2 linked regions of the Notamacropus eugenii genome follow. The protein of the gene in region 1 purifies or fractionates together with the protein of each later gene. This does not show direct contact. Links are inferred from orthologs where the notes say so. Each region holds a gene or a part of one and is shown on either strand. Other genes may lie near its edges.

Region 1 (16,314 bases):
CCCTATAAGGGAAAATGATACTTGTTAATCTTGAGAATTATATATTTATTATGAAGTGTAAAAAGGATATATACAGATAGAGGGAGTGAGTATAAATTAAATGATGTGATAACAAATGTGATTTAAGGGCACAAAGGGATTGTAATGGGAGATATGAAAAGGAGGAGGCAGAAAAAAATAAATTCCAACACAGGAAGATGCACAAAAATAAATTACAGTAGAGGGAAAGAGGAGAGGGAGATGAGCATTGTTTGAGAGGTACTCATCTCTCCAATCTCATCTGATTGGATTCAAGGAGGGTACAACAAACTGTTAAGAATAGAAATACAATTAGCTCTATAGGTAGTAGGAGAGGAAGGAGGAAAGAAAAGGGAGGGGAGGCTAAAAGGGAGTGAAGAAGTAGTAAGGGAAAAGGGGATTAAAAGGGAGGGAGGCTGAAAGAAGGGAGGGAAGACTGTGGGAGGTAGTGGTCAAAAATTAAAACTATTGTGGAGGGGAAGAGAGAAGGGAGAACTAAAAGCATAAACAAGGGGAAAGGGGATGGAGGGAAAAATACAGATAGTAATCGCAACTGTGAACATGAGTGGGATGAGCTCTCCTGTAAATGGAGATGGATAGCAGACTGGATTAAAAACCAAAAAATCCAACAATATGTTGTTTACGAGAAACACATTTGAAAAGGGGGCATACACACAGGGTAAAAGGTTGGAGCAGAATATTTTGTGCTTCAGCTGATGTAAAAAAAAGCAGGGGTAGCAGTCCTAATCTCAAACAAAACAAAAGCAGAAATAGATCTAATCAAAAGAGATGAGGAAGGAAACTATATCCTGCTAAAAGGTACTACAGACAATGAAGCAATTTCATTACTAAACATATATGCTCCAAGTGGTATAGCATCCAAAGTCTTGGAGAAGAAGTTAAGGAAGTTACAGGAGTGATTAGAGATCTCACAAGAGACTCTGCAGTTGGGGGCTTGATAAGAACAAAATGTTATATACACTTGCCCACATGTTGGCTTCTCCATTAGAGTGTGAACTTCTTGAGCTTAAGGTACTGTCTTTTGTCTTTCTTTGTGTCCCTAGCATTTTGCATGCTAAGTGCATTGCTCATAGTAGAAGCTTAATAAATGTTTTTTGACTGACTCACATTCTGTGGACATCAGATAAGCTTTAGCACGACTAATTTACCTCAAGGACAACCCACCAAAGTATGTAGAAAATTAAAGGAAGAGGGGGGCGGAGCCAAGATGGCGGAGTAGAAAGACGCACATACGCTACCTCTGAACCCACTGCCCATAAAATACCTGTAAAAAACAAGGAACCACCGTCGAATTCTGGAGTAGCAGAAGTCCGCAGAGCGGAGCGGACGAGATTTCTGCTCCAGAGAGCCTGAAAACCTCTCCCAGGGGGTCCCTCACGCCCCGGACCCGGCGCAGAGCCCAACCCTGCCTCGGCAGCGCAGCGCCGAAAGCAGCAGATCTGAGCAGGCTTCAGGGACAGAATCTCCAGCAGCCGCGCGGGTCCCTCCACCCACAGGTGACAAGGGTCGGTGAGAGGGTCTCTTTGGAGGGTCGAGAGTGGAGTGGGGTGCCCCCATAACTCAGGCCCCCTTGGGAGGCAGCAGCAGAGGCGGGAGCAGACCAGGGCTCCCCAAGCAGGCAGGACCCCGGATCCATTGTTGAAGGTCTCTGCATAAATCCCCTGAGGGAACAGAGCCTGTGAGGCAGCCCTGCCCTGACCTGAGCACCTGAACTTAATCTCACACTGAACAGCAGCCCTGCCCCCGCCCAAAGCCCTGAGGCTGGGAAGCAGAATTTGAATCTCAGACCCCAAGTGCTGGCTGGGCAGATCTGGAGGCGAGGTGGGGGTGGAGAGGACACTCAGAAGTCAAGTCACTGGCTGGGAAAATGCCCAGAAAAGGGAAAAAACATAAGACTATAGAAGGTTACTTTCTTGGTGAACAGGCATTTCCTCCCTTCCTTTCTGATGAGGAAGAACAATGCTTACCATCAGGGAAAAACGCAGAAGTGAAGGCTTCTGTATCCCAACCCACCCAATGGGCTCAGACCATGGAAGAGCTCAAAAAGGATTTTGAAAATCAAGTTAGAGAGGTGAAGGAAAAACTGGGAAGAGAACTGAGTGACATGCAAGCAAAGCATGAAAAACAAGTAAACACCCTGCTAAAGGACACCCAAAAAAATGCTGAAGAAAATAACACCTTGAAAAATAGGCTAACTCAATTGGCAAAAGAGGTTCAAAAAGCCAACGAGGAGAAGAATGCTTTCAAAAGCAGACTTAGCCAAATGGAAAAGGAGATTCAAAAGCTCACTGAAGAAAATAGTTCTTTCAAAATTAGAATGGAACAGATGGAGGCTAATGACTTTATGAGAAACCAAGAAATCACAAAACAAAACCAAAAGAATGAAAAAATGGAAGATAATATGAAATATCTCACTGGAAAAACAACTGACCTGGAGAATAGATCCAGGAGAGACAATTTAAAAATTATGGGCCTACCTGAAAGCCATGATCAAAAGAAGAGCCTAGACATCATCTTTCATGAAATTATCAAGGAAAACTGCCCTGAGATTCTAGAACCAGAGGGCAAAATAAGTATTCAAGGAATCCACAGATCACCTCCTGAAAGAGATCCAAAAAGAGAAACTCCTAGGAACACTGTGGCCAAATTCCAGAGTTCCCAGGTCAAGGAGAAAATATTGCAAGCAGCTAGAAAGAAACAATTCAAGTACTGTGGAAATACAATCAGGATAACACAAGATCTAGCAGCTTCTACATTAAGGGATCGAAGGGCATGGAATAGGATATTCCAGAAGTCAAAGGAACTAGGACTAAAACCAAGAATCACCTACCCAGCAAAACTGAGTATAATACTTCAGGGGAAAAATTGGTCTTTCAATGAAATAGAGCACTTTCAAGCATTCTTGATGAAAAGACCAGAGCTGAAAAGAAAATTTGACTTTCAAACACAAGAATGAAAAGAAGCATGAAAAAGTAAATAGCAAAGAGAAGTCATAAGGGACTTTACTAAAGTTGAACTGTTTACATTCCTACATGGAAAGACAATATTTGTAACTCTTTAAACTATTCAGTATCTGGGTACTGGGTGGGATTACACACACACACATGCACACGCACATGCACACACACATAGAGACAGAGTGCACAGAGTGAATTGAAGGGGATGGGATCATATCTTAAAAAAATGAAATCAAGCAGTGAGAGAGAAATATATTGGGAGGAGAAAGGGAGACATGGAATGGGGCAAATTATCTCTCATAAAAGAGGCAAGTAAAAGACTTATTAGTGGAGGGATAAAGAGGGGAGGTGAGAGAAAAACATGAAGTTTACTCTCATCACATTCCACTAAAGGAAGGAATAAAATGCACACTCATTTTGGTATGAAAACCTATCTTACAATACAGGAAAGTGGGGGATAAGGGGATAAGCAGGGTGGGGGGGATGATGGAAGGGAGAGCATGGGGAGGAGGGAGCAATTTGAGGTCAACACTGTTGGGGAGGGACAGGATCAAAAGAGAGAACAGAAGTAATGGGGGACAGGATAGGATGGAGGGAAATATAATTAGTTCTCACACAACACTACTATTATGGAAGTCATTTGCAAAACTACACATATTTGGCCTATATTGAAATGCTTGCCTTCCAAAGGGAAGGGGTGGGGAGGGAGGGAGGGCAGATTGGCAGACAGGGGCAATTAGAATACTTGGTGTTTTGGGGTGGGGGGAGGGGACAAAGGAGGAGAAAATTTGGAACCCAAAATTTTGTGAAAATGAATGTTAAAAGTTAAATAAATAAATAAATTTAAAGAAGAAAATTAAAGAAGAATCAAAAGCATAAAACCTTTAGATGCCATATATGTTGTGTTCTAGTAAACAATGCCAAATGTGAATTATTTAGCATATAGATTAAATATAAGAACAAATGTTTTCTTCCATACTTATGCATTCCATATCCATTACCAGAAGAGGAGAAATTTATTAAATGCATACTGTATACTAGGCATTGGGTGTATAAACCAAACTACCTTCCCTCAAGAAATTTGTCAAAATATTTGTTTGGAAAAACATGTTCACAGAAAGGTAAATTCAAAATATACATAGTAATTTCATGATAATGGATGGGGAGGAGGAACTAGTAACTGTTGGGAATCAGGATAAGCTTCCTTTCTTTAGGAGATGACAACTGAGATGATCTGGGAAGAATCCAGGGATTCTTTGAAGCGGGAGAGCTTCCCAGGTATGAGGGATAACTCTGCAAAGCCACAGAGATGGGAGATAGAATATAGCAAATGTTAGGGTGAATATTCAAGAAGAATGGAACAATATAAAGTAATAAACCTCTTTAACCCTTTCACTCAGGGGTTTATAATTTAGTTATGCCCTGAAAAGAAATCTGATGACTCATGGTATAACTTTCATTTTACTCTGAAGACATCAATTCTTACCACACTGATACTGTACTATAAAATAGAATGTCGTGCTTTCATTGTTGTTTTTTTTTTAAATAAGAGGAAACACTGTGCAGCAGAAAGTTTTATTGAATTGGGAGTAAAGTTCTAATGTTGGCTGTTATATCTACCTTACTGTGTGACCTGGGAGTAAATCACTCCAACTCATTAGACATTAGTTTCCTTGTCTGTTTCATCACTAAGATCTTAGCCCATATTTATCATGACAATACCAAAATCACTTTAAAGAATTTTTAAAGTTGCATACACACCTTAGATTCCACTTTTCCAGTTGGTAAAAATTCCATTTCAAAAACTGGATTATCATGATGGCCTACAATTACAAAGTAGAAACTTCCAGACATTGTCTCCAATATACAGGTCCTAAGTAAATGAGATAACAAATCTCTTTGTGAATTTTATGCTAAAAATAGAAATGTAAATCTAGCGATCTTAAAACATCATAAATTTACATGGAAGATGCATGTTACTGAAGCAAAATTAATGAGATCATCTGTGAGAGATAGAAAAACAAATTAAAATGTCTAATATATTATAAGCAGTGGGGAGAGATTAAGGACACAGAAAATGTTTTATTTTAAAAATGCTTTATTATAAGCTTTAAATTAATCCATGTAACAATTAAACTTGCTTTTTGGTTATTAACATCTAATTAAAGGCATTTTAAAGCATAAAATGTCTCAAGTTTCTTCCAGGTTTATTTACCTATTAATTCTCATTTACTTTTAAATGATTATAGTTAGCATGTACTCTGTTCTTTGGGCTTCCCCTTGCATCATTTCATCATATTCATCATAAAGATTTTTTTCAATTCTTTACCATTCGTAATTGAATTATAATATTCATTGTATTAATATGACCTTTCCCAATTTTTAGGACATTTAGGTTTCTTCCAAAGTTTTTACAATGAAAATTATTCCACATAAGAATGAGATACACATTTTCAGACAATGCCAATGTGTGGATTTGTTTTGCTTCACTAAACTTTTTTGTTACAAAGGAGTGCTTGGAGGGAGTAGGAAGGTTTGGACAGGAGAATTATAAAGAATTGACACATATACACAAAGAAATGAAAGATGTATCAGTAAAACGTTAAAAGAAACACACACACTCACAGATGGGAGATTAGAAGAGGATTCTGACAAGCTTAGCAGTGCCAGTTTTACCATGTTAAATTTAATGTATACTTAAAGTACAAAGACAAATACCTGTCTGCTTTCAAGGAGCTTTGTCTGGATCAGTGACTTTCTTGTTACATTTCATTTAACTTTTTTTTTTGCCAATTTGCTAAGTGTGATGTAGCATGAGGTAGCACCTTAGTTATTAAAATTTGCATCTACTTGGTTAATAGTGGGTTTGGGCACTCTTAAGTAGTTATTAACAATTAGTGTTTGCTTTTAAATTGCCTATTTTTATCCTCTGGGGGCAGGGAGTTGTTTCTGTAAAAATTTTAACAATTCTCTAGTCCAGATGCCAAGTTTTTAGTATGTGATATTGGCTGTAAAAATTTCCTCCAATCTGACATTTTTAAAAAATCATACCATTTTTGTTGTACAGAAACTTTTTTTAATGTAATCAAGCAACTTATCTTTTCTCCACTAATTATTCTATTTCTGTAACAGAAATATTTCCCCTAAAGATTGAAACAAATATGACATTCTATCCTTTCCCTTCCATTTTTTCTATAGTTCTTTTTATGTTTAAGTCTATCATCCATTTGAAATTCACTTAGGTATTACATGTGAGATATTAGTAGAGGTTCATTTCTTGCCAGATATATTTTTAAGTTTGACTGATGCCTTTTCTTTTTAAATTCTCATCTTTTCCCAACATATACACTGCTTCCACACACCTGTTTGCTGCTTAGAATACTCACTTGGGGTGGGAGGGAGGTAAGAGAGATGAAAGAAAGGTTGCAGAGGTGGAAACAATACTTTTTATGTGAAAAAAGACTTACAACTTTTACTTAATTACAAGTTCAACATTAATGGTACGATGTGGCTGGCATATAAGCAAATGCTAAAATGCATTAATAGAAGTATAATGTCTAAAACAAGGGAGTATTGTAATAACCCTAATGCACTGTGCACTGCTAACACATGATGCAATTACATACTCCCTTTTGAACATCAAATTTTAAGATGAACTTAGATGAAACTGGAAACACCCAGAAAAGGAAAACCAGTATAGTGAAGGATCTGAAACAAAACAAAACAAAACCAAGCCATATCAAGAATTGCTGAAAATTGTTTTGCCTGGCAAATCTCAAATATGTGGAGGGTTATTATGTGAAAGCGGGATCAGTCTTTGTAACTGTTTGGCGTTTGGTATTTGGTTAAAGGAGATCAAGTTAAGGGTAAGTCTATGGGGAAATAAATTTGGCTGAATATAAGGAAACGGCTAACAATCTGTCATGACAATGAAACTGCTCCATTCAATGACAGTCACGTGCAGAATGCTGACTTTGGAAAGGGAGGATCACAGTTCAAATCCTGCCCCAGCCAATTACTTTGGCTACAAATGATCGTGGCAAGTCATTTACTCTCTAGGTCTCAATGTTATCAACTCTAAAATGTTGAGGCTTCATTAATTAAATTAAAATTCAACATTAAAATAAGGCTGGAAAACCTCAGAGGTTCCTTTCATTTCTACCATGAAACTGCATGATCTTTTCTGAGACCTCCTCCGTCTAGATTTTTGCAGCTTTTGGTAATATTAACCACTCCCTCCTCCTAGTTCTCATCCTACCTGACTGAATGCTTCTCAGTCTCCTGAGAACAAACACATCCTAAACAAAAACATCCTAAACCTTCTACTTTCCGATTTCCCCTTAATTCCTGGGCCTTCTTTCTGTGGATGACTTCCAATTTAACCTGTGCGCAGCTTGTCCGCACGCAGCTGTCCTGCTCTCGTCCGCCCCATCGGACCGGGAGCTCCCGGCGCTGGGGCTCAGCACAGCGGCCGGCCCGCAGCACAGCGGCCGGCCCGCAGCACAGCGGCCGGCCCGCAGCACAGCGGCCGGCCCGCAGCACAGCGGCCGGCCCGCAGCACAGCGGCCGGCCCGCAGCACAGCGGCCGGGGCTCAGCACAGCGGCCGGCCCGCAGCACAGCGGCCGGCCCGCAGCACAGCGGCCGGCCCGCAGCACAGCGGCCGGGGCTCAGCACAGCGGCCGGCCCGCAGCACAGCGGCCGGGGCTCAGCACAGCGGCCGGCCCGCAGCACAGCGGCCGGGGCTCAGCACAGCGGCCGGCCCGCAGCACAGCGGCCGGGGCTCAGCACAGCGGCCGGCCCGCAGCACAGCGGCCGGGGCTCAGCACAGCGGCCGGCCCGCAGCACAGCGGCCGGGGCTCAGCACAGCGGCCGGCCCGCAGCACAGCGGCCGGCCCGCAGCACAGCGGCCGGGGCTCAGCACAGCGGCCGGCCCGCAGCACAGCGGCCGGGGCTCAGCACAGCGGCCGGGGCTCAGCACAGCGGCCGGCCCGCAGCACAGCGGCCGGCCCGCAGCACAGCGGCCGGGGCTCAGCACAGCGGCCGGCCCGCAGCACAAGCTTCATCGATCTTTATTACCCGACTGGCGATCCACGCATCTTAACCAAATGCTCCTGGAGGACATCCAGGAAGCAAACAAAACAAATTCACCGCCCATAACGGTGGAGGGACTGAATACAATGATCTCGGTAGAGTTCGTTGGAGAAACAAATTCAATAGGCCTGCCTTCTGAGTAATTTTAAAAAAGTTATGAAAAAGGTATCGCCATCAAGACACAGTGCCAGGCGGCGGAGGGAGAAAACCGTGGAAAGTCGGCCAGCACTTTACCCTTTGCTAGGCAACAGAAGGGCCAACCAGCACCAGGTAAATAGGGCGGGCAGAAACTCGCCCATTTCTTAGAGGAGGGGCTCCTACCCCTTCAATTCTAACCCTACGGGGGGATGGTCCTAGAGGTCCTGGGGGGAGGGGAAGGAGAGAAGGAGAGTGAGAAAAGGAGGGGGGAGGAGGAAGAGGAGGGCGGGGCTTTGCTATAAGCACGGGCACCGGACACCCTCCCCGTCTCAATCAGCCTCTCTTAGGCCTTCTCCGGTCCTTACCTGTGGGCAGGACGCGACACCTGCCCCAACCACACCAGCCCCGACCTCCCTCGGTCAAACTCCAGGTAGAACTTCGACCTCGGGAGCTCTAGCGGCGCTCTGCGGCGCCCCAGTTCTCGCGAGAACTGAGCCCGCCGCGGATTGGCGGGAGGCTGAGACGTTTAACAGCTGGACGAGTGCGCCTGCGCGACGGCGGCGGCGGCGGCGGCGGCCCGGGCGGCGTGACTGGGTCTGGAGGGACGTTCCTTAGGACCACCTAGAGTAGCAGCCCTCAGTCAATGCAGGCTGTACACCCAAACCTGTGAAAGCTCCCTTTCGGTCGCCGGGATCCCTTTCCCGGTTTAATAGCCCAGGCTTTCTTCTGGAGTCTTTGGCCCCGTCAGGTGATGACTGGATTCGGCCTGAGCTCCCCTCCGGCCTCTCAGCTTAGCGGGAAGAGAAAGCGGATCTCTCCCTCTTCCAGTATCTCACTGCCCTTCGTCGTCGCCGGTTTTCGGGGACACCCCCCCCCCTCGGGAACGTGGCCTCCAGGGGGTTAAAGGCCGTCCCCGAAGGGCTGGAGGACGCTTCCCCCCCCCCCCCTTCTCCTTCCCCCGAGAGGCTTTGGGCAAACATGAGAAACACCAGTCCCTCGTGGGAGGTGGGGGCCGGGGTGGGGGTGTCCGGAAAACAAACCCTTTTCATGACTTCGGGGGTGTTCTGCTGAGGTCTTTGGCGTCCCTGACGTTGTTTTTGAAATCATGAGGGATCTCCCCCACCTCCGACTAACCCGTGACACCGTCTCCTCTTCCAGTTCAAGATGCCTTTTGAAACTCAGGCGCTGTCTCAGGATGAGCTCCGAAAGAGACTGTACCAGACATTTAAGAACCGGGGTATTTTGGACACACTCAAGGTACCTTTGGGGCATGTGTTTGCTTTATAATAGACAAAAAAATATGAGATGGGAATATCCAAGGATGGGTGAATTTAATAGTAGTCACCCAGGTACCGTGTTAGATTGGACTTTTTATTTTTTTTATCGTGTATCCATTTTGAATTGTGTGGTTTCCTTTTGAAGTCTTGAATTAATTATTGCATACATTTAAGGACAAGTTTCAGATAGAAATAAGTAATTATATTAAGAAAAGAAGCATTTTGATAATGTAACATTTTGTAGGGCTGATATTCATTCTTAGAAGTTGAAAAAATGGCATGTTCAGAATGTTAATTTTATTAAATTTTAAATCGTTAACAGGTTTTTTGTTTTTTTTGTAAACCCGTTTTTGTAGGTAGTGAAGGGATAATCTCAAGTTTTGGGTAAATAAAGTGCTTCATTTTGGCAGCAAACTCTGGGGATGTTATTCTGCTTATTGTTCGTAAGAGGAAAGGAGAAAATTTCTCTTTCCGAAAACCCTCCTGTTACAGCTTATGGAAAGAAAACAAAACAAAAAAATTAAAAAGTTAAACTGATACAATCAGGGAAGTGCTGGTAAATGTTAAGACTGTATTCACAGTTCACTATTTTGTAGTATTCACATTTTCTCCATCACTTTATGTCCAGACTATCAACAAAACAGTATGTCTACCCCTCGTTTGTATTTTGCCTATTTCTCAATTTAACAATTGGTTTCACAGGTAGGAGGAGCTAGCACACCCTGCCACTTAAGGTGGTATTTGAAGGTGCTTGTTGGAAATGATTAAAACTCTTGACATCCAGAAGATAATAGGTACCAACTGATAGATGTATACAGTTCTTTCATCTCTGCAGCCAGCTCACTGTTATTTCTTTAATGAGATGACAAAATAATTGCCTTGTAAGGTCTTTTGGCGGCTACTTCTGTTTTCTTCTGGGTAAAAATCACTGTGTAATGTACAAAGATAATTGATTCTTATTGTAGGAGGAAAAGAACCTTTCTGGGTTGAAGGAAAGAAACATTCTGTTTAATATCGCCGATACTTTTATTAAATAAAAATAATATTTTAGTAAGATTTTTGATATGTTCCTTTTTTTTTTTTTGAGGTAGACTCAACTTCGAAACCAGCTTATACATGAGTTGATGCATCCTGTTTTGAGTGGAGAAGTGCAGCCACAGGTCATTGCTGTTGAAGGAAGCTCACTATTAGTTGGGGCTTCTAATAGCCTTGTGGCTGATCACCTGCGCAGGTGTGGCTATGAATATTCACTGTCTGTTTTCTTTCCTGAGAGTGGCTTAGAAAAAGAAAAGGTAATCATCCCTTCTCCACCTTTTAATTCACTTGGATAAAATGTCTTTTACTTTCCTCTCTTTAGTAAAACAGTACTTCAAATCAGCCTTAAATATGTCTGGGTTCTCAACCAGAATCTCCTCTCCATCACATCTGACTGGAAATCAACAAAATAGAATCAGTCTCAGTGGAGAAAGATACTCAGTATTCTGGTTTGGAGGAAGGAAACAACTCAATTTAATATGTTGATTAAATAAAAATATTTTAGATTTTTCACCTGTTCCTAGGAATTCCTGTCATTCCTAGATAGTGTATCTTAGGCAGCTTGGACCTTCTTTGAATAGTCTAAATGAATACTTTAAATCCTTTGGTACACTCAACTAGTTGCATTCTGGGGACACCAAGAGTCAGGTTGGGACAAGTTGTGGTTCACCCTGAAGCAGTGTACCAGCTTTATCCCTATGTCCATTAATGAATATGATAATTTTGTTGTTTAGATGTTTCAGTTATGTCTGACTCTTTGTGATCCCATTAAATATTAGAGTGTTTTGCCATTTCCTTCTTGATCTCCTTTTACAAATAAGGAAACTGAGGCAAAGAATGTTAAGTGGCTTGCCCAGAGTCACACAGCTAGTAAGTATCTTAGGTTGGGATTTGAATGCAACTCTTCCTGACTCCAGGCTAGCTGCCTTAATCATGAAAAATTTTTGAGTTTACTATCTGAATGAATGATTTAATCATTTTGAAATTGAAAGGTAGCCACCCATCTACCACTGTAATAAGGAAAACAAATTGTAAACCATGAAATGCTATAGATGTTAGTTATATTAATTTACTCATAATTTAAATTGAATTTTTTCATACCAGAGCTACTGATATTATGTAAGAAATACTGCATATTAATTTTCCTTTTTAAAAGTAGATTCAATCTTTATTGTTTAGAGAAATGCAAATCAAAACAACTCTGAGGTACCACATCACACGTATCAGATTTGCTAACATGGAGGCGATGTGGGAGAGTTGAACACTAATTCATTGTTGGTGGAGCTGTGAGCTGATCCAACCATTCTGGAGAGCAATTTGGAACTATGTGTGCATACCAGAATCTCCTTTGACCCAGCAATACCCCTTCTAGGGCTGTATCCCAAAAAGATCATAAAAGTGAGAAAAGGATCCATATGTACAAAAATATTTATAGCAGCTCTTTTTGTGATGACCAAGAACTAGAAATCAAGGGGATGCTCATCAATCGAGGAATGGATGAACAAGTTGTGGCATATGAATGTAATGGAATACTATTGTGCTGTAAGAAATGATGAGCAGGCAGACTTCAGAAAAACCTGGAAAGATTTATATGAACTCATGCTGAGTGATGGGAGTAGAATCAGGAGAACATTGTACACAGTTACAGCCACATTGTTCGATAATTCACTTTGATAGACTTAGCTCTTCTCAGCAATGCAAGGCAAAGCAAAGCAAAACAACTCCGAAAGGCTCATGATGGAAAATGCTATCTACATCCACAAAAAGAACTATCGAACCTAAATGTAGGTGGAAGGATACTATTTGCTCTTTTTTTTGTTTAGTTTTATTTTGTTTTGTTTTTCCTTTCTCATGGTTCCTCCCATTCAGTCTAATTCTTCTATACAGCAGGACTAATGTGAAAATATGTTAAATTCATATTGTTCTCTATTTTTATAACTAACAACTAGACAGCACAGTGGATCAGTGTCCAGTCTGGAGACACTCAGGAACTTACTAGCAGTGTGACCTGAAGTAGGTCATATCTTCTGTTTGCTTCAGTTTTTCCATCTGTAAAACAGGGAACTAATGCCACCTGTTGCCTAGAGTTGTGAGAATCAAATGAGATAATTTTTGTGAAAAATGCTTAGCGGAGTGCTTGGCACATAGCATTATACAGATGTTAGCTTTTATTATAAGTGTTAATAGGTTCTGATCCTATGTGTTCATTCATTTAATAAATTCTTTGAATTTTCTGCTATAAAAGCTATGTAAGTATGATAAATTTGTGGGTTCAGTGTTTGTCATTGTGTATAAAAATCAAATTTATTAGTATAGTTATATTTGTACTATTAATTTGAATGTTGCTATATTTTCTGTTTTTGTTTTTGTTTTTTTTGGTTTAGCATACCTAAAATGACAGAATTTTATACCATTAATTTTTAATTTTCTTTTCAAAAGGTTTTTACTATGCAAGATCTACTCCAGCTGATTAAAATCAACCCCAAATCCAGTTTCTACAAATCATTGGTAGGATTTTTTTAGATTCTATAAATCTACTTTGGTTTACTAACCATAGTTGAATGAAACTAATTCTTTTCCTTTTTTTTTTAGACTTCAAAGATTCAAAAAGAGAACCAAAAAGGTAAACGATTCATATATTTTGCTAGAAGTATATACATGACAGTTTTATTTTTCTTTTATGGGAAAAAATAGTGTTTTAATTTGTATTATTTAGTTTGAATTAAATAATTGGATTTTTTTTCCAAATACAATTCCAGTATATTTTTAACAATTTTTCATTCTCTTTTCCTGAAAAAAATGATTATTCTTAAAATTTTTCTTCCTTTATTGTAATGTGAGTATACAAAGAATCTTAGACTTCCTCAGTGTGGGAAGCATCTTTTACCCCTTCAGATTGCCATCTGTCCATGAATTAGTATGTAAATCTTAAGGAATTTCCTAAGACCTAGAGGTTAAGTAATTAGTCCCATGGGGACCATCTCCAGTTGTCTTATCTTTCCGCTGTACCCCTATGGTTCCAAAGGAGAGAGTGAGGTGGGTGACTTTACACAGCGCTCCTCACTTAAATCCAGTTCACATCCTGTCATGGCATCACCTTTCTGATGTCATGTCCTCTTCAAGAATGAAGGAAACAACAACCACTGTGTCACTGTAATTATTGTAGAGGTGAAATTTAAACCTCTGTCAAGTTTATGCCTTTATGTTTGGTAATGCAAATAGAAGAATGGAAGATAGTAGCATAATTCAAAGCAAATTAAACAAGAATATTTTAACTAACTGGTATTTGGCATCTGGATGCCAGAGTGAATAAGAGATCTGGACTTGAGGTCAGGAAGACCTTAGTTGGTAGAATCCTGCCTTATTGATATCACTCAGTGATATTTTGACCTCTGCCTCATATTCCTTATTTGTAAAATGGAGGTAAATAATTGTAAACTTTGACGCACTATATAAATATTAGCTATTACTGATAAAATTTATGAAAATTAATATTTTAATAAATTCCCTTAAAAACCATATAAATGCCTGATATCTCAGTCTAATCCGATTATTTTATTTCAATATTGGTTTAAATGAGTTGAATCAATTTAATTGTTTTTTTAACCATCCATTAGATACTATAGTTCTTTATATCATAGAATTATTCTTGATGTTGAATTTTGTAGCACTTACATTGACTGAGAGTTGCCGAATGACTTTAAATGCCTTAGAACAGCGGTTCCCAAACTTTTCAAGTATGAGAACACGTTTGTAATTGGGAAAAAAATTTCAGATTCTCAAATGATAGTAGTTCTATAATGAGTTTTCAGTAACAAATTCATTTAAAAGTTCATGAACTTACAGTTCAGCTAAGTCCCAATTACTGCAAATTGAATTTTTTGAAGTGGTCACATCATTCAAATTTATATTATTTGTAGTTATACCCTTAGCTTTTAGAATAATTACATGTAGACTATGGTAGTTGTTGGAAATATGGAAATATTCAGTAAAATTTTTAAAATAAGGTTTTAATCTGTTTATTATACTATTACAGAGGATATTAAAATATTTTTGATTTATTTGTTACAAAGTAATACAGTAACTATAGAAAGCAAAAATAAAAAAAATTAAAATTACTGAAAATTGTACCCAAAGATCAGCTATGGTGATGAATAATAAGATAAAAATGTTGTTATTTAAAATCTGAATAACCTACAGTCTTTAAATCTTCATATATATATATCTGGTGAAGTTCAGAGAGCTTTATCCATATCTCAGCAAATTGCATCTCATACTCTCATACAATGAATTTGAATTACCTGATGAATTATCTAAAATCAGTAATGTTTTAAACATTATATTGTTGTCTTTGTAATGTTTTTCAACACCTGGCCTAAAGTAACTTGAAGACCAGTCTTCAAAAAAAGCTTTAATGACCCTTGCAGTCTCATTTCATAGCCAGTGAACTAGAAGTAATAGTCATATGACACCTCCGAAAACTTGAAGACTTCAGAACTGACTAACAATCATTGTTTTTAATTAAAAATTGCCTTCTTCCTCTTCCTCCAATAAGGGAATCTTTAGTCACTTTAAATCCAGGTTGAGTTTTTTCTTTTTTTAAAAATGTAAGTTCTAGAAAGCATCTCAGAAGAAGCCTGTTTTATTAGCATTTACATTTTTTTGATCAGTATCTCCACCTTTTTAAAATTTTCTTCAAAACATCAGACTCTAGCTATTGTGTCCTCATCTGCACTGGTCATCTCTTTGGTAATTTACATTGCGTAAGTGACCTTGGTTTAAAAAATTTTTTTTTTTTAATGAGCAAAAATTTGCCTTTTCTCCCTCTAATCCCAAACCCTGTCCTCCCCAATTAAGCCAGGAGATGATTGGTGGATTATTTTCACTTTGCCCTCTAGTTTTTGAGAGATTCATGAAGTCACAAAAAATTGGACATGACTGAACAACAAGATTTTTGGGGGATGTTTTTCCCCTTTGTTTGGTCCTATTGTTCAGGTAGTCCGATTCTTAGAATTTTTCTCCTTGATTTGTTTTCCATTTAAGTTATTTTTGCTATGAGATAATCTTACATTTTTTTTGATTTTTCAGTCTTCTGACTTGGTTTTAATGTTTCTTGCTATCTCATGGAATCATTTGTTTCTACGTGCATTTGAATTTTTAGGGAATTTGTTGCTTGGGCAAGGTTTTGTACCTTTTTTTCCAAGCTCTGAATTTCTTTTTCAGTTCTTTCTTCATAGCTTATTTTTTTCTCTAGCTTTTTCATTTAAAAAAAATTTTAAGCAATTTTTAAAATTTTCATTTCTCTAAGGAACTATACTTGAATTTGTGGCCAAAACCCGATTTGTAGGTTTTTCTTTGAGGCCTTGTTTGCCGATATTTTGGACTCCTCTTCTTATGGGTTTGTTTCTTAAGTGTACCTGTCACTGGAACAGCTCTTTATGGTGGGATTTTTTTTTTTATTTCCTTGTTCTTCCAACCTACTTTCTGTCTTCACATTTTATGGTAGGGCAAGGTTCTGCATATTTCTGGAAGGAAGGCCTGGGTTGATCATCTTGCTGCTTTCTTGAGGTATTGACCAAGAGCTTAGGAACTCAGGCTGGGGATCTATGAGCTTTAGTGCTTCCAGAGTAATCTGATCCAAACAAAGTCTGATTGCTGCCTCATGGTCTGAGCTCTGCAAGTTCTTGACCTGGGTTTGGGTCTGAGCATCAATAGACTGCTCCTGGATTCAGCCCTTAGTAACCAGCTAGAAAGCTTTGCCTGTTCAAACTGAGAG
Region 2 (16,012 bases), on another chromosome or scaffold:
AGCACACCTCCAGGCACCAGGTTTACAACTTTGGATTCATTCTCAACTGCTCCCTGTCCCTCACTTCTCACATACAAGCATCTGCCAAGTCTTGTCAATTTTATCTCCAAACATCATCTCTCACATGTACCTCCTTTTCTCTACTCACAAAGCCACCTCTTTATTTCAGACACTTGAGGTCTCTAGCCAGTACTATTGAAATAGTCTCCCTGCCCTCTCCAATTCATACTCCACATACCCCCCAAAGTCATATTCCTAAAGGCTATGTTTCTTCCTACTTAAACTCTAGTTGTTCCCTATTACCTCTAAGATCAAATACAAATTTTTCTATGAGAGGATCCAAAAAACCCTAGATTGCAACAATGGGCTGAAAATAACAAGGAAAAATTTAAGTGAGATCAATGTAAAGTCCTAAATTTGGTTTAAAAACTCCACTGCACAAGAATAGGATAGAAGAGAAACAGCTAGAAAACAGTTCATGTGAAAAGGAATTGCAAGTACAAAATGAGTCAACAGTATGATACAGAAACCAATGCAATTTTAGGTTATGTTACAAAAGTGAAATGTCCAGAGCAAGGAAAACCACATTTGGTTTTGTGTCCAGTCTGGGGTGCCATATTTTAGAAGGATGCTGACAAGCAAGAATATTTAAAGGAGGACAACCAGGAAGATGGAGGGACTGAAAAGTATAACACATAGGACTCATGTAACTAAGGATGCTTAGTCTGGGAAAAAGATGGCTTGCCAAAAATTTGGTAACTGTCTTCAATTAGCTGAAAGCGTCGTTGAAGAAAGATTAGAATTATCTTGTTTGGTCTCAAAGAGCAGAGCTAGGACTAACTGGATATTTTATAGGGAGATTTTACCCCACATAATTACTTTTCCTAACAATTAGAGCTAACTAAAATACAATGGGTTATATTATCAGATAAGGTATTATCCATATCAGCAGAGGTTTTCAAGCAAAGGCTGAAGGACCACTTGTTGGGCATATGTAGATTCCACGCTGTATGTGGTGCACAACAATCCCTAGGATGGCCCAAACCAGATAAAATAAATAAAAATACAATAAAACACAGAAAACATGTAGCCCCAAAGGAGTCTTTATATATGTTTAGTTTCTTTTTGAGTTTTATGCCCCGGCTGTGGAGAGTTTTCATGATCAGAACAAGGACTGACAAGAGGCAGTTGTACAATGATGAACACCTGCCTCTTACTACCTATATGATCTTGAGCAGGTTCATTTTCTCATCCATAAAAGGGTGAGCTGCCTAGAAAACACCAAAGGCCAACTTTCAGCTCTAAATCTAGGATTCTATTATCTCTTGAGTTCTCTACACCTCTGTCATTCTATAGTTTTTTAAAGCAGGGACTATGTCTGGGCCTTAATAAGTATCTATTAAATTGCTACTCTTAAAACAACTGTATCACTCATGTGAAATACTAACTCCAAAAATTCAACATCAGCCTGAAGGGGCAGATTTATTTTCAGCGCAGTATCAAAATTTCAATTAAAATCCAACCCAAAAATATTTTTTCAAAACAAGAAAAAACATGTAGGGCTTGAACACGTAGGGCAAAGACAACTTCCTCCTCACTCTGTTATAACTATTGATGCCGCCTGTTTGAAACATTAAATTATACTACCAAAACCCATTTGGTCATCTGACCATGGGATAGACTAAAAACATTAAGAGAAATAGAACTTGGTTTCTTCCAACTCTGCAATTTATTAACTGGCTAATCTTGGGCAAGTAATTTCACTTTCTCTCAGTTTCCACATCTATAAAATGGGAGTGAGGTGTGTTGTGCTGTATCATTGGTTGTTCATCTGTAGTTCATGAACTTAAAAAAAAATTTTTTTTTATAATTGCATATCAATATAATTAATATCCTTGGTAATCCCTGTACTTTATAAATTTAAAAACCTTATTCTGTGCCCATTATTTTCACTAGAAACCAATGTCAAAGGGAGTCAGGAAACATAAAAAGTTAAGAATCCCTGTACCAAATTGCTTCTAAGGCCCCTTCTAGGTCTGAGTACAAGATGCCATCCTAAATTAACTGACTCAAAAGGAAAAAATGACTTTATACTAATCATGCTAGTTTGGGGAAATTTTTAAAAATTATCTCAATCTTCCTTCACACAGGTCTGAAAATTTTATTTTTTTGCCTGACCTGATTTACTAAAAAGCAATTCAAACTCTAAAATTATGGATTCAATAAAAGGATTTTTTTTGCTTATTTTTGCTGTAAAAACTAAATATCACAAATGTCTACATTTTAATTATTTGCTGTCCACTTAAAGTGACAAACTTTCATGATTCTATTATATTATATGCTTGGTATTCCTTATTAAAAAGAGGATCATCATAAATGTTAAATAAAACAAGTCTCTCTTAATTAACTGTCTTCAATATGCTATACACACAAAAGAAGTTGGCAAAACTAGAAATGTATAAGTCACACATTTTAAAAGCTAGACATCAGTGTAATAACAGTCTAACTGGCCCTGGAGTCAGGAGGGCCTGAGTTCAAATTCGGGCCTCAAAACACTTGACACTTACTAGCTATATGACCTTGGGCAAGTCATTTAACCCCAATTGCCCTGTCTTCCTCCCTCCAAAAAAAAAGAAAAAAAGCTTTCAAAGGTCTCATCTTTTATTAAACATAACCCCCTAAATAAATTCTTGAAATAACTAATAGCTCAGATATGACACACAGCAATCACTTTTAATTTTTAAAATAATTCTAGGTTTAAATTATAAAAAATAAACACAATTTACTTAAAATTATACCGTACTTACTTCCATACTCCACACAATATGAAACAATTAAAATAAAAATAGAAAAAATGTTTTTTTTTTTAAAAAGCGAAGAAATAGTACTGTAGCTGAGATAAATCAGCACCTACAGCTAAGCAACAAAAATAATGTGGTATTATGCCATTAGTCATAAAATAATTAAATAGTACTGAACTCTCAAGCCTCATCTACTTGGCACATGAATTATTTGAAGAGAGACTAAGAGAAAACCCCTTGAAAATTTATGAATAAACAAGACTTAACCAAAGGACTATTTCTGGTCAAGAAAACAAATAGAAACATTCGCAATTTTCTTTACATTGTTTTTCTAAATGTTCTTCCCTTCATTCATTCAGCTATAAATATTTACTTTATGAATTATTATGTGCAAGAAACTGTGCTAGGTGTCTATTGAAGAGGATAAATAAACATTAAGATACAGTCTCTAAACTCAAGAGAGGTTTTCTCCAGGCAACCACTGAATGGCCCCAAGAATTTTGGCTAGGGTTTATTGGAGCAGACCTAAGAAAGCATTGCAAAAATATGTGACTTTGCAAGATGCCTTTCAAGAAAATCTGGTCTGCCACCACAGCCCAAAATTGTCCACTTCACAAACCTCTTGGGTTTATAAACTAACTTCTACTGTTAACTGAAACAAACACTGGGAAACTGTTTGCCTTTAGAGATGTGGATAAAAAAACAAAAAAAAAAAGGAAAACTTAAAAAAATAATGTCTTACACTGTTTTTGCATTCGAGTCTTCATATATATTTAATTCCTTAATGAGAAATTGTCTCTCCAATGGCGTTGCTGGTTGACCAGATTCTGAAAAAGAAAGACTCTTTTTATGAAATCCTCAGGTACCATAAAACACAAATATAATCCTGCAAAGAGTTGCATTTTTAAGTTTTATGAAGTTATGGAAGTAAACCCTATACCATACAATCAAATGAATTTCCTAAGAGGATGATAAACAAAGGAGATAAGAAATCAGATCTGGAGGCTAACTGGTACTCTCTCAAAAATATTGTTAAAACACATACAGGAAGCACAGTAAAACTTTAACATCCTACAACTCTCTGACATTACTATGTGTTGCACTTTCTCCTAGATTAAGCACAAGGTAAAACCCCCCAACCTCAGACAGGCAGTACCTTCATGAATGATAGTGTCAAAATAGTTAACACTTTCTTCATAACCAGATGAGCAGAAGAAGTGGCATCAACGCCCACTCTACCAGTGAGACTTGACTATTCTTTACAGAACAGATTTAATAGGATAAAGACTGACAAAGTCCTTGTCCCAAGAGGCACACCTACTATGATCTCTGAAGAGGACTACTGGAAGGTGATGAACGGCCTTGAACCATAACCAAGTTTACTGTGTTTGTTAGGTTTCTGACTCTTCCCCACCCCATATGAGGTTCTGTGGGCAAACATACTGGAGTGCTTTGCTATTTTCTTCTCCAGCTTATTTTACAGATGAGGACATTTACATCTGAACTCAGGTCTTCCTGATTCCAGACCTGGCTCTCTATCCACTGTACTACCAGGCTGTCCATCAAATTGCTCCTTAAACTTTTTAGTTTCATCATTTCATTCCTTCACTAGCTTCAAAGGCAGTGAATGTCCAACAAATATTAAAACAAATAATCACAGAATATGTAATAGCATGTCCTCCCTCCCCTTAAAATGATGTATTCTGTGTTTGTCCTTTTCTCATTAAAAATTTTGCTTTAATCTCTCAAATGTGAAGATGGTTGTGTTATTCTACTTGGCAGGGCTTTAGAAATCTTATTTCTACATATATGCCAGTAAACTAAAGCATTAATGGAAAAATTTAGTGTAATATGTAAGAGCTTCAAAATACACTACTTAGTGTAGCAGAGATGAGAAAAATAGAGCTAGATGCCTGGGTCAAATTTTAAATTACACACCAGAAACTTTAAAATGATTTGTACCCATTTTTCAATTATGCATAATTTTTTCATGTGGATTATTTCTTCCACTTATAAAGTTCGCAATCCATTTCAGACTTGGTCTTTAAGAATTTCTATGACTGAAAAATTCACGGATAATTAAACCTCCTTAAACTTACCCAGACTAGTCTTTGGCTGAAAAACTCAGGAGAATTTTCTAGCTTTGCAGGATCTGTACTATGATGGCTTTAAAAATTAATGTTCAGTACATTCTAATTATGTTTCTCTCTTTAAAGTTCTACATTATCAAGCCAGTTAATCCTGACAAGGAACTCTAGCTCTATTTGACACCAAGAATACCTATGCTGATAACAGGAATACTGAACAAGAGATTGTTACCTAAATTGATTAGGAAAATACCTAATTATCACAAGAATAAGACTTTTCCAGAGATTAAAAACCAAGCATTTGACTTGTCAACAAAAAGGAAAAGATGCATGCATAGAGAGTTTCATTCCCAAAGTGAAGCAAGAAGGGCCAGGAGATCATGGTGCACTGTAACAGCCAAGTGCAATGATGACCACCTGTGAAGGACTTGATTACTCTGATCAATACAGTGACCCAAGACAATGCCAAAGGACTCATGATGAAAAGACTCTATCCACCTCCAGAGAGAAGGGATGAACTGAGTGCAAACAAACAGAATTGTCCTCACTTTCTTTAATTTTGCTTTTTGTTTTTGCAGTATGGCTAACATGGAAACGTTTTGCACGATTTCACAAATATAACTGATATGCCATCTCTGGGGTGAGAGGGAGAGAATCTGGAACTCAAAATTTAAAAAGAATGTTAAAAATTAATAATAATCTTTTAAAAGCAGTGCTTCATTTATCCAGTTGTTTTCTAGCAAGCTGGTTGGTCAGGCTTCAGAAGGAGATCAAAAGACTATTTCAGCTCTCAAGCAGCTAGATGGTGTTTTTGTTGACAAAACTGAATCATCAAGCTAAATCACACACACACAAAAAGAATTCACTTAACAAACAATCCACACTTACCAGCTGTAAGGACAGATGCTGAATACTTATATTTGTTGAACTCCAAATACTCCCGAATTAGCTCATTAATTAGGAGGTTTTCATGAGACAGGGGTGGAGGTTTTTCACCTTGATCATCTAGTGCATTAAAAACTTCAGCTCTGATCTTCGCTCTTAAGTGTCCCAGTACACCCCTTTTTTCCAGAGTATCCTTCAAAACTATTAAATAAGATACAATATTTTAGTGCAAGAATTGCAAGTGAAATAAATCATTGATCAGTCTTATATGCTGTTATGGAGCAGCTTGGGACACAGATCAAAGAAAATGAATTTTAAAGTACTACCAACAAAGCAATGAATGATGGCCTCGGACTGAGTCCTGAGGTTTCTTCTAGATGCTTTCACTGATCTCTGAGCCCAGCACCAGCCCACCTCCCTATGTCCCCCTGGGTACCATAAAGCCCTAACTCCAGCTCTCCCTACAGTTTTTAAGCTGTCAGCCATTTGCCAATAGTAACTTCTAAGATAAATTTTCCAGTAAAGTTTGGCTGATCCAAATATTCCCTACTGTAATTGAAGCAGTGAAGCCGTCTGCCTTTTAAATGACCTCTTTTCTACACGATGCTAAAACCCTCAATCATCTGTGTATGCAAGTATAGTCTGTACAAATATTATCAGCTAACAAGTATTTACAGAGTACCTATGCTCTATTTTATTTCTCCTTCACCTGCTGCATATAATGTCACCGTTATCACTGAAGTGCTGAAAAAATCCAAGAGACAGTTCCCTCTGAGAACTCTTACTCCAGCTAAACAAACCAAATTACACATTCATGGAATCTAAGAATTGGAAGAGGTCACAGACATCATCGAGTCAAAGTGTCAGGGCTAGAGAAGTGAAAATAAGTATCTAAGGTCACACAAGCACTTAGTATGGGAGCCGAGATAAGAACTCGAATCTCTAGAACCCTTCCCAGCCTTCACCAGCCTCCTGTTTCTGCAACGTCAATAACAGGAGAAAACACCCACATAGGGCAAAACCCTACAAAGATGCAAGGTGCTGTGGTTATCAGTCAGGGCAAACCAACAGCGAACAAAACCTCCCAAGCCGCTCCTTTAGCCTCTTTCAGTTATCTAGACTCTCCATGACCCCTTCTGGGGTTTCTTGGCAAAGATGCTGCAGGGATTTGACGCTTCCTTCTCCAACTCATTTTAAAGATGAGGAACTGAGGAAAACAGGGTTGAGGGGTTTGCCAGGGGTTCACAGCTACGACTTCCAGGCCTACGCCCTACCCACTGCCACCATCCACATCACATCCTGCAAGCTCTATGGTCAGGGGCAAATCCTGACCTTCTCAAGCGCCAGGGCGAGCTGAAGTAGCTGGATGACCCAGCAGACACAGTGGTTGGGACCTGAGACCTAAGAAGGCCTAAATTCAAATCCAGCCACTCAGAGCAATGCCTGGCAGGCAGGGGGAGCTCAACAAATACCTGTGGGCCAGTCCAATTCCCTAGATCCAAGCCTCCGGTTCCCTTACCTGTAAAATGCAACTCTTAAGAGGATCACAAGCTTGTTGTGAAAATCCAAAAAAAAAAAAAAAAAAAGGGTTACTGTTTTAACTATTAAAGGCTGAAAAGCTTTAGACTGCAGTGAGACTCTTAAAAGACAATAAGCATTTATTTAGAGCCTGTTATGCGCTCACCACTGCTAAACTCTGGGAACATAAAGGCAAAAGACAGTTCAAAGGAGACAACAAGCAATTAGGTACACATGAGCTAAATCTGCAGAGCGAGGGAAGCTGATTAACAATTAGGATGAAGAGGAAATAACCAACAGAGGGGGCAGGCACTAGAATCAAGGATCAGGACGGCCTTGCTGCGGAAGGTGGAATTTTAGCTGGGGTATCTTCTACTTTTTGAAAACCTGAGGTTTTATAACAAAAAATAGAAAAACCAGTTATCCTTGGAAGGTAAGGTGGACAGGTGTTTGCACCACGGAGGACCCCACTCCAGGTCCACGTAATCCCACAGCAGGGGGCATGGGAGGAAGGGGGGGGTGATAAGGGCAGTGAATCAAGTGAGCAGGGAATCTGGGAATGAGAGAAACACCCCTCCCCCTCCCCCTCATTCCTGGGGTGTTTTTGTCTCTTTTCGGATTCCCAGCGCAGGGCTGCCCCTCCCCCCATCTTTTCATAAAATAAATTACTGGGAGAAATATCAACAGCAGGCGCTCGATAAATGCTCACTGACCCATTCATCAATAATCATTTATTAAGCGCTTACTACGTGCCAAACCCTGGAGGAACAAAAAGTAGCAAATTAAAAGCAAAATCCCTGCCTTCTTAACGGGGGCACTGAAAAGCCCAGGAGAAGGCAAGCCGCGGCCCACCCGGGCCTCTCCGCCCCGACTCCGTCCCCAGCCCAGCCCCGCTCGGAGGCCGCTCCATCTGTGTCTCAGACTGAGCTGTCCGGCCTACGCGTCCGTTCCTCCGCTACCTGCTTTGAGTTCCGCCACAGTCGCCATTTTTCAACGGCCGCCCGGGAGTGAAGGGAAGAAGGGCGGGGCCTAGCCCCGCGCAGCGCGCATGCGCGGCACACCGCCCCACCCCCTCAGCGGGCCCAGAAAGGCCGAGGCTCCGCCCCTGAGTCCCCAGCCTATCACACGTCACATCCGGTGATCTCTCCGGTACGGGCCAATCGGGTGGCCTCTGGCCCGGGAAGCTGCCGTAGGCACGCGTGCTGGTGGAGAAGGTGTTTACTTCTGTGGGATTACGCGGGCTGTGCTTTCAGTTGGGGTGTTAGAAGTGATCGATTTATGGGAGCCCCTGGACAGAGAGGCGAGGACGGGTTGTGATGGGCGTCATTAGAGAAAGCTTCCGAATCCCTGAGGTCACCGGTGTAGACGAGTGTTTGCGCCGGAAGGAACGTATGGGGAAGAACTCAGGAGTTAAAGAGAAACATCCAGCTGGGCGGGTCGGATAAAGGCGCGGTGGTGGGAATGCCGCAGAAGGGGTCAGCCCCAAATGGCGTTATTTCATATGTATCTATGTACCTATATATACATATATATATACTTGTATGTGCCTATAGGAAGATGCAGAAATTGGAAGAGTAAGAATAATAACCGAGTTACGGAATGCTTTAAAATTAAGCACTTTATGCCTTTATTTAATTCTCAAATTTGTGAATGAAAATTAATTCCTTCTCCAAACAACCCTGAGATAAAAATCTAGTATATCCTCTTCAGAAATCAGAGAATCCTAAAAGCCACTTCACATCTTTTGGATCGGCTTATGGGACAAAGGAAAAGGGCTGTTGGAGGGGGTGTGGAAACACTGGAACACTCATTCTTTGTTGGTGGAGTTGTGAGCTCATCCAACCATCCCGAAGAGCAATCTGGAACCATGCCCAGAGGACAACTGAAAGCTCTGCATACCCTTCATCTAATGATACCCCTGCTGGGTCTATATCCAGAAGATACCCAAAAAAAGGGGGAAGAATCTATTTATACAAAAGTATAAGACAGTGGATAAGAACTGGAAATGAAAGGGATGCCCGTCCATTGGGCAATGGCTCACAAGCTGTGGTATATGATTGTAATGGAATATTATTGTGTCATAAGAAATAACAAGCAGGGTGATTTCAGAAAAACCTCCAAGACTTAGTGAACAGAACCGGAGTACATTGTATACAGTAACAGGAGTATTGCTCAATGAAAAACAATGAATGACAACTATTCTCAGCAATACAGTGATCCAAGATAATCCCAAAGTATTCATGTTGAAGCATGCCTCCAGAGACATAACTGATATTGCTTGAATACAGACTGAAGCATGCAGTTTTTCACTTTCTTTCATTCCTTTCGTCTTGTACAAAATGACTAATATGGAAATGTTATATATTATTGCACATGTCTAACCTATATCTGATGGCTTACTGTCAAAAGGATGGGAGGAAGGAAAGGAGGGAGGAAAGGATAGAATTTGGAACTCAAAACTAAAAAATGTTTAAAATTGTTTTAACATGTAATGGGGCAATAATGTATGCGTGTGTTTAAAAATCAGAGAATCATGAATTTAGAGATGGAAAGGATTTTAAAGGCCATTTGGTCCAAACCCCTAATTTTACTGGTGAGAAAACTAAGACCCAGAGAGAAGCCACACAGCTAGTAAGAAGCAGAATTTCAACACTGACAAGGCAGAGGCTATTCCCCATAATAAAATTATATTCTCTGCTCTCAAAAATGTTATCAAATTCTTTTCTGAGGGACTAGCAACAGGTTCATTCAATCTTGCTTACTGGGAGGATTAGAGATTAAGGTATTATTGAAATTACTATTTCATATCTCTAGGATCAAACTGCAGGTCATTTGAATTCAAAAGAGTAAGACTTCATTGACCAAGAATTAAAATGATTCATCTGTCAAACAGCCATTGCTGGGAGAAAAGGAACCTTCCCCACCCTCCAACCCTCCCAAAGGTGGAATTTTACAAATGGGAGACACCTACTTTATGGAACTACTTCCCTATGATGTTGGGACAGCTTTTTTTTTTTTTTAAACCATATTACATGCCCTATACATCAGGGACCTCTGTCCTGCAAGAACTTGAAAACCAAGCCCAAATTGTTGATTGAAGATTAATTGTAGGGAAATTTGCATTTTTGGACCCTAGAAACAGCACAAATGCTCTTATACCTGTAGAATGGGTACAATGCATGCTGAAGAGCCAACGGTTGCCTTCAAATATTTGGAACCTGAAACGTAAGAGGAGAGTTTGAACTTGATCTGCTTGGTCCCTGAAAGCAGAACTGGGAATCCTGAGAGCAAAGTTACAGGGAAGCAGATTTCAGCTTGATAAGAGGAAAGACTTCCTAACTAGAATACCTGGACCGGAAGTGAATGGATTGCCTACGAGATAGTGGATTCCCCTGCCCTGGTCTTGGAGCAAGTCCAGAGAGTCCACTCATCTTGTTTAAATATGCAGATACTTAACCAAGAATGGTGTTAACCCAGGACTAGGAATACAAAACAGCCTGGGGAGATAAATTAGGTCCACTCAAATCACCTTGTAAAAACAAAGTTTATTTGAATATGTAGGGGAGAGACTGAGGAGAAAGACCTTAGGACTGATGGCTGTAAAGGGAAGAGATGTTGGCACTTTACAAAGCTGCTGCTGGAGAGGCCCCCGCTGGACAGGAGACTGTTAGATAGAAGCTTAGTTGGAATTCAGCTCAGGGAGTGGTAAGGGGAGAAGCACACTGTGGGGGCTACCTCTAATATTCTTTCTAACTAGGTGCTAAACTCTAAATTCTGGTGCCCTACCTCTGATCACCTCACCCTATGTGGGCCTGTGGGTATAAATTACATTATATGACTTCTCTCATAGGCCTATGTACTCCAACCTCTGAGATCTCTTCCTACAATCAGATTTTACGATTGTATATGTATGATTTTTACCAGTACGTTGATCAGATGTCACCAGCCTTACAAAGGGGAGAAGCCAAGTTGTGGCTAACAAGTCTAGGTTTTCCCTAACACGAAGAAAGCAGGGATTGCAGCTGATTTGTAGTAGTAAAGCTGCACTCAAAAGGCTCAAAGCTATTTTCTCACTGTTTCTCTAATTAGAAATTCTTTTGGATTAACTTTCTCTTCTTTTAAAATGTAAATTCCTTGGTGTGGGTTATCCTTTTGAGTCATTCATATTTTAGAGTGAATTGCTAAACAGAACTTGAAGGAGCAGCTAGGTGGCAGGTAGGTGGCAGTGGGTAGAGTGCTAGCCCTAGAAAGAGTAAGGAAGACATCTTTCTGAGTTCAAATGTAGCCTCAGGCACTTACTAGCTGTGGGACCCTGGGCAAGTCACTTGACCTCAGTTTCCTTATCTGTAAAATGACCTGGGGAAGGAAATGCCAAGAAATCCCCAAATGGGATCACAAAGAATCAGACACGACAGGCATGATTGAACAACAACAAAAAAAAATCTATTTAAGATTAAGTCTGAAGGTTTGATTGTGGCCAGGAAGGAGGGCATAGTTGTCTTTCTTTAAGAAAGAAGTTTTATTAATGCTTTTTTTTTTTTACAACCCCTGTTTCCATAATATAAGAAGAATAATTTTCAATCTTAATATTCTTGGGAAAGGGCAGGCTTTTGGGGTCCCATATCAGGTCCCTTGAATGCTAGCCTTGTGGAAAGATCCCGAGGAAGACTCAGAGCACAGCTCACTGAGGCTATTGCAAACTTGATGCCCATAACTGGGAATCTAAAGGTCCTAAGGAGAGGACTGTATTTCCAGTAATATGGGATACAAAACTGAGATAAGGCAATCAGCCAGGTAAATTTGAAATATCTCTAGTTAAAAGGGGCTCTTTTACTTCAGATTCTCTTAAGAATAATAGGTCCCACCAATGCAACCAAGATTAGATGGAAAACAGAAAAGCTGGAGAAACAATTTTTATAGCAAGTATTCTGGTAAAGGCCTCATTTCTCAAAAATATAGAGAATTGAGTCAAATTTTAAGAATATAAGTCATTCTCCAATTAATAAATTGTCAAAGGAAACGAACAATCAGTTTTCAGATGAAGAAATTAAAGCTATCTAGTCATATGAAAAAATGCCCTAAATTACTATTGATTAGAGAAATGCAAATTAATACAACTCTGAGGTACCACCTTATACTTATCAAATTGGCTAATATGATAGAGAAAATGATAAATGTTGGAGAAGATGTGGAAAAATTGGGATACTAATGTGTTGTTGGTGGAGTTATGAACTGATCCAATCATTCTGGAGAGCAATTTGAAACTATGCCCAAAGGGCAACAAACGTATGCATACCCTTTGATCCAGCAATACCACTTCTAGGTCAGTATCCCAAAGAGATCGTAAAAAAGGGAAAAGGATTCACGTCTACAAAAATATTTATAGCAGCTCTTTTTGTGATGGCAAAGAATTGGAAATTAAGGGAATATCCATCAATTGGGTAATGATTGAACAAGTTGTGATATATGAATGTAATAGAATACTATTGTGCTATAAGAAATGATGAGCTGGCAAATTTCAGAAAAACCTGGAAAGACTTACGTGAACTGATGCTGAGTGAAGTGAGCAGAACCAGGAGAATATTGTAGGCAATAACAGCAACATTGTGCAGTGCTAGGGTTGGAAGCTCAATTCCATGTGGACAGTCTCGGGCGGGTAAAGGTGGGAACTTCTAAATCTTAGAGTTCTCACGAGACCCCCCAGGAAACGACTGGGAATCGAGGTGAACCAAGCTATCTCGTGTATTTCCGCCTCTTCCCGTGAGAAACGTGATGGGAGAGAGCTCTCCCCGCCCTCGAGATTGTCCCGGATCTGGGCACACTATTGTTATCTAACAGCACGGTATTCAGATGCAAACTATGCTGCTGAAGAGTTTAAGTAGGATCAGGAAAGCCTGAAAGTTCTCTTGGGCGGAGGGGCACGGAGCGGACAGGACAACAAGGCTCCGCTTTTCCTCTCTCCTCTCTCCCCTCCCCCTCTCTCCCCACTTACACTTCTACTTCCAATCTCTTATTGTAAGATCTTTGCCTCCTTGGGAGATTCTTCGCTCCCTCCTAAGGAAGAATTCCCCTGCACTTGTAACTAGACCCTGAAATAAAGCTCAACCCTTGTTTGACTCTGGAACGTCCTTTCTCTCATACGAGCATCCGGTTTGGCCAACCGAAGACCTCGGGAGGTGAGGTAAGAAGACTCGGGTAGCCCTCAGGCCTCTAGGCCTGGCAGTGCAGTGTTCAACTATGATAGATTTAGCTCTTCTCAGCAAAACAGCGATCTAGACAACTTTGAAGAACTTATGATGAAAAATGCTATCTACCTCTGGAGAAAGAACTGTGGAGTCTGAAGAGATGGAAGTATACTACTTTCACTTTTTTATTTTTTCCCCTTGGTTTCTCTTTTTTATTCTGTTTCTTCTTTTACAACGTGACTAATGTGGAAATATGTTTAACATGATTGTGTATGTATAATCTATATCAGATTGCTTGCCATCTTGGTAAGGGGGGGTGTGAGGGAGGGCAGGAGAAAAATTTGGAACTAAAAATCTTATTTAAAAAATGAATGTTGTAAACTATCTTTATATGTAATTGGAAAAATACTATTTACAAAAAGAAAAAAAGAAAAATAATAATAGATCCCTTTGTACTTCTATCATCTTTCCGCAACTTTTCATCCACTTCTATTTGAAACTAACCCCACCCTAAGTCCTATCTCTCCTGCCTTATGATCAGCCCTTGTTTAAAATCACCTGATTGAATAAACTATGCCCCTAATCTGAACCCTGCCAATAACCAAGATCCTTCTTTACCTTCTTTCATGCTTTTGCATTCCCATTCTTTTGCATGCTAGGATCTCCAAGCCCTTTATCCCTGTCTTCCAGGCTTTCACCCCTGTTCTAACCTCATTTTCCTCGCTTCCCATGTTCATCCCTATTGTTAACCAGTTCATCTCTACATGACCTCTGTTCCACTCCTTGTTGCCCCACCTGTTCTATAGAACCTCATACCTTGCAAATCCTAGGCCTTTATTACTCCCACCATCTGCTTCCTTTACTGCTAAATTTGCTGCTAAAAGAAGCTGAAGTCCATCAGGAAACCAAAGTGAATGAGAATCTCTGACAACTTTATTATATGATCTCAACTGGGCACTTAGCAAGGGCCCTTTTATTCCTCCCTAATTGATTCTCTATCTCACTCCCACAGAGGTTGCTCCAGACCTTTCCTTCTTTCCCCTATCCAGTCTTCCTTATCTTTCTCAGCTGAGGACCTTGTCTTTTATCTTACTGAGAAAATAAGAAGCCATCGGTGGCGAGCTCCCTCTTCTCCCCTTCTCTATAATTCAAAATATCCATCCCCTGCACAGTTCTGCTTTTTCTCTAATTCTTAGCCTCTCCCTATTTATTTCTTCTTTCTCTACTGTCTGCAAACAAACCAAGCCTCTCTATCCTGAAAAAAACCAAAAAACCTTACTAAGCCCTAGTACCCACTTATGCTATTATCTTCTATCTCTCCCTCATTTCACAATTGACCTCTTAGAAAAAGAGGCATCTCATTTCTCAACTGTTTGCAATGTGACTTCAGAATTTCTCTCTCAAATGAAGCTGTTCTTTCTTTCTTGTCACTCTCTTAATCACCAAATTTAATCACCTTTTAATCATCAAATCTGTTGTTTTTTTTATATTTCTTATCCTTTGTAACTTCTTTGCAGCATTTGGTGTAATTGATTACCTTTTCTGCCTGAATACTCTGTCTGGTTTTTGGTTTTCATGACATTGCTGTCTTTTGTTTCTCCTTCTATCTATCTCATGGCGCCTTCTCAGTCTCCTTTGTCGGTTCATCTTCCATATCACATCCCCTCCCCTCACTATGAGTGTATGTCAAAGTTCTATCCTGGGTGCTTTTTTATTCTCTTTCTATATTCTCTCACTTAGGGGCCATTTAAGCTCCCCTGGGTTTAATTATAATTTCAATCCAAATGATTCACAACTCTAAATTAACCCTAGTTTCTAAACTCTTAACTTCCAAACAAATATATGCAACTATCTATTGGATATTTCAAACTGGAAGTTCTATAGGCATCTCGGATTCAACATATTTAACTCATTATCTTTCCCTTCTAAATTTCCTGATTTCTGTCAAGGTCACCATCATCCTTCTGGTCATAAACAGAAGAATGCTTCTGGCCAGCTTCATCTAGCCTTGTAATTGCTGACACAGAAAGGAGCATTTTGAGTTCGCTTGGACAGTGAAGCAAAGCATATCTGTTCTGCCAGAGCACAGAAGGCGTTATGGTAGGTTAAGCTCAGAGTGGGCCAAAATGTCTTTTTCTTAATTGATCAATCCAGGTTTTAGACCTTTCTCAGGTGACGGTATTCAAAGTGGTTTGGGGAGGTTTTTACATTGTGCATTGCTCCACTTCCTAGACTCTGTGGTCCAGCCAAACTGGCCTTTTTGCTGCTCATACACCATACTCCATTTTCTTTGTCTATCCTGATTTTCCCCCCTTTTAACCCTGTAAGGACACATTTTAAGGGGGAGGCCCAGATCAACCATGTCTTTATTCTCTCCCTCTCCCCTTCCTTTTCAGTTACTTTTTATGTGCTGTCTTTCCCTATTAGAATATAAGCTCTAGTTTTGTTTTTGCTTATATTTGCATTCCCAGCTCTTAGCATAATCCCTTGCTCCCAGTAAGCACTTAATAAATGCTTCCTGGTGTCCGGTTGTGGC

Evidence for each region.
Region 2: the proteins of OFD1 (region 1) and CEP20 purify together in Homo sapiens (co-immunoprecipitation; 3 studies listed by BioGRID and IntAct, with this or other methods). This does not show direct contact. The link is inferred for Notamacropus eugenii from reciprocal best matches to the Homo sapiens genes OFD1 and CEP20.

What each region holds. Positions count from the first base shown.
Region 1 is NC_092876.1:377,229,772-377,246,085, reverse strand, and holds the start of OFD1 (centriole and centriolar satellite protein OFD1), read left to right. Parts: upstream 1-8,734; 5' UTR 8,735-8,974; intron 8,975-8,993; exon of another isoform or gene 8,994-9,384; 5' UTR 9,385-9,390; coding exon 9,391-9,483; intron 9,484-10,590; exon of another isoform or gene 10,591-10,594; coding exon 10,595-10,795; intron 10,796-12,977; coding exon 12,978-13,046; intron 13,047-13,130; coding exon 13,131-13,161; intron 13,162-16,314. Other genes in the region: TRAPPC2 (trafficking protein particle complex subunit 2), read right to left, coding at 4,758-4,850. UniProt on the Homo sapiens protein: Component of the centrioles controlling mother and daughter centrioles length. Recruits to the centriole IFT88 and centriole distal appendage-specific proteins including CEP164. Involved in the biogenesis of the cilium, a centriole-associated function.
Region 2 is NC_092872.1:96,248,291-96,264,302, forward strand, and holds the start of CEP20 (centrosomal protein 20), read right to left. Parts: upstream 8,416-16,012; 5' UTR 8,279-8,415; coding exon 8,251-8,278; intron 5,975-8,250; coding exon 5,777-5,974; intron 3,629-5,776; coding exon 3,544-3,628; coding exon of another isoform or gene 3,540-3,543; intron 1-3,539. UniProt on the Homo sapiens protein: Involved in the biogenesis of cilia. Required for the recruitment of PLK1 to centrosomes and S phase progression.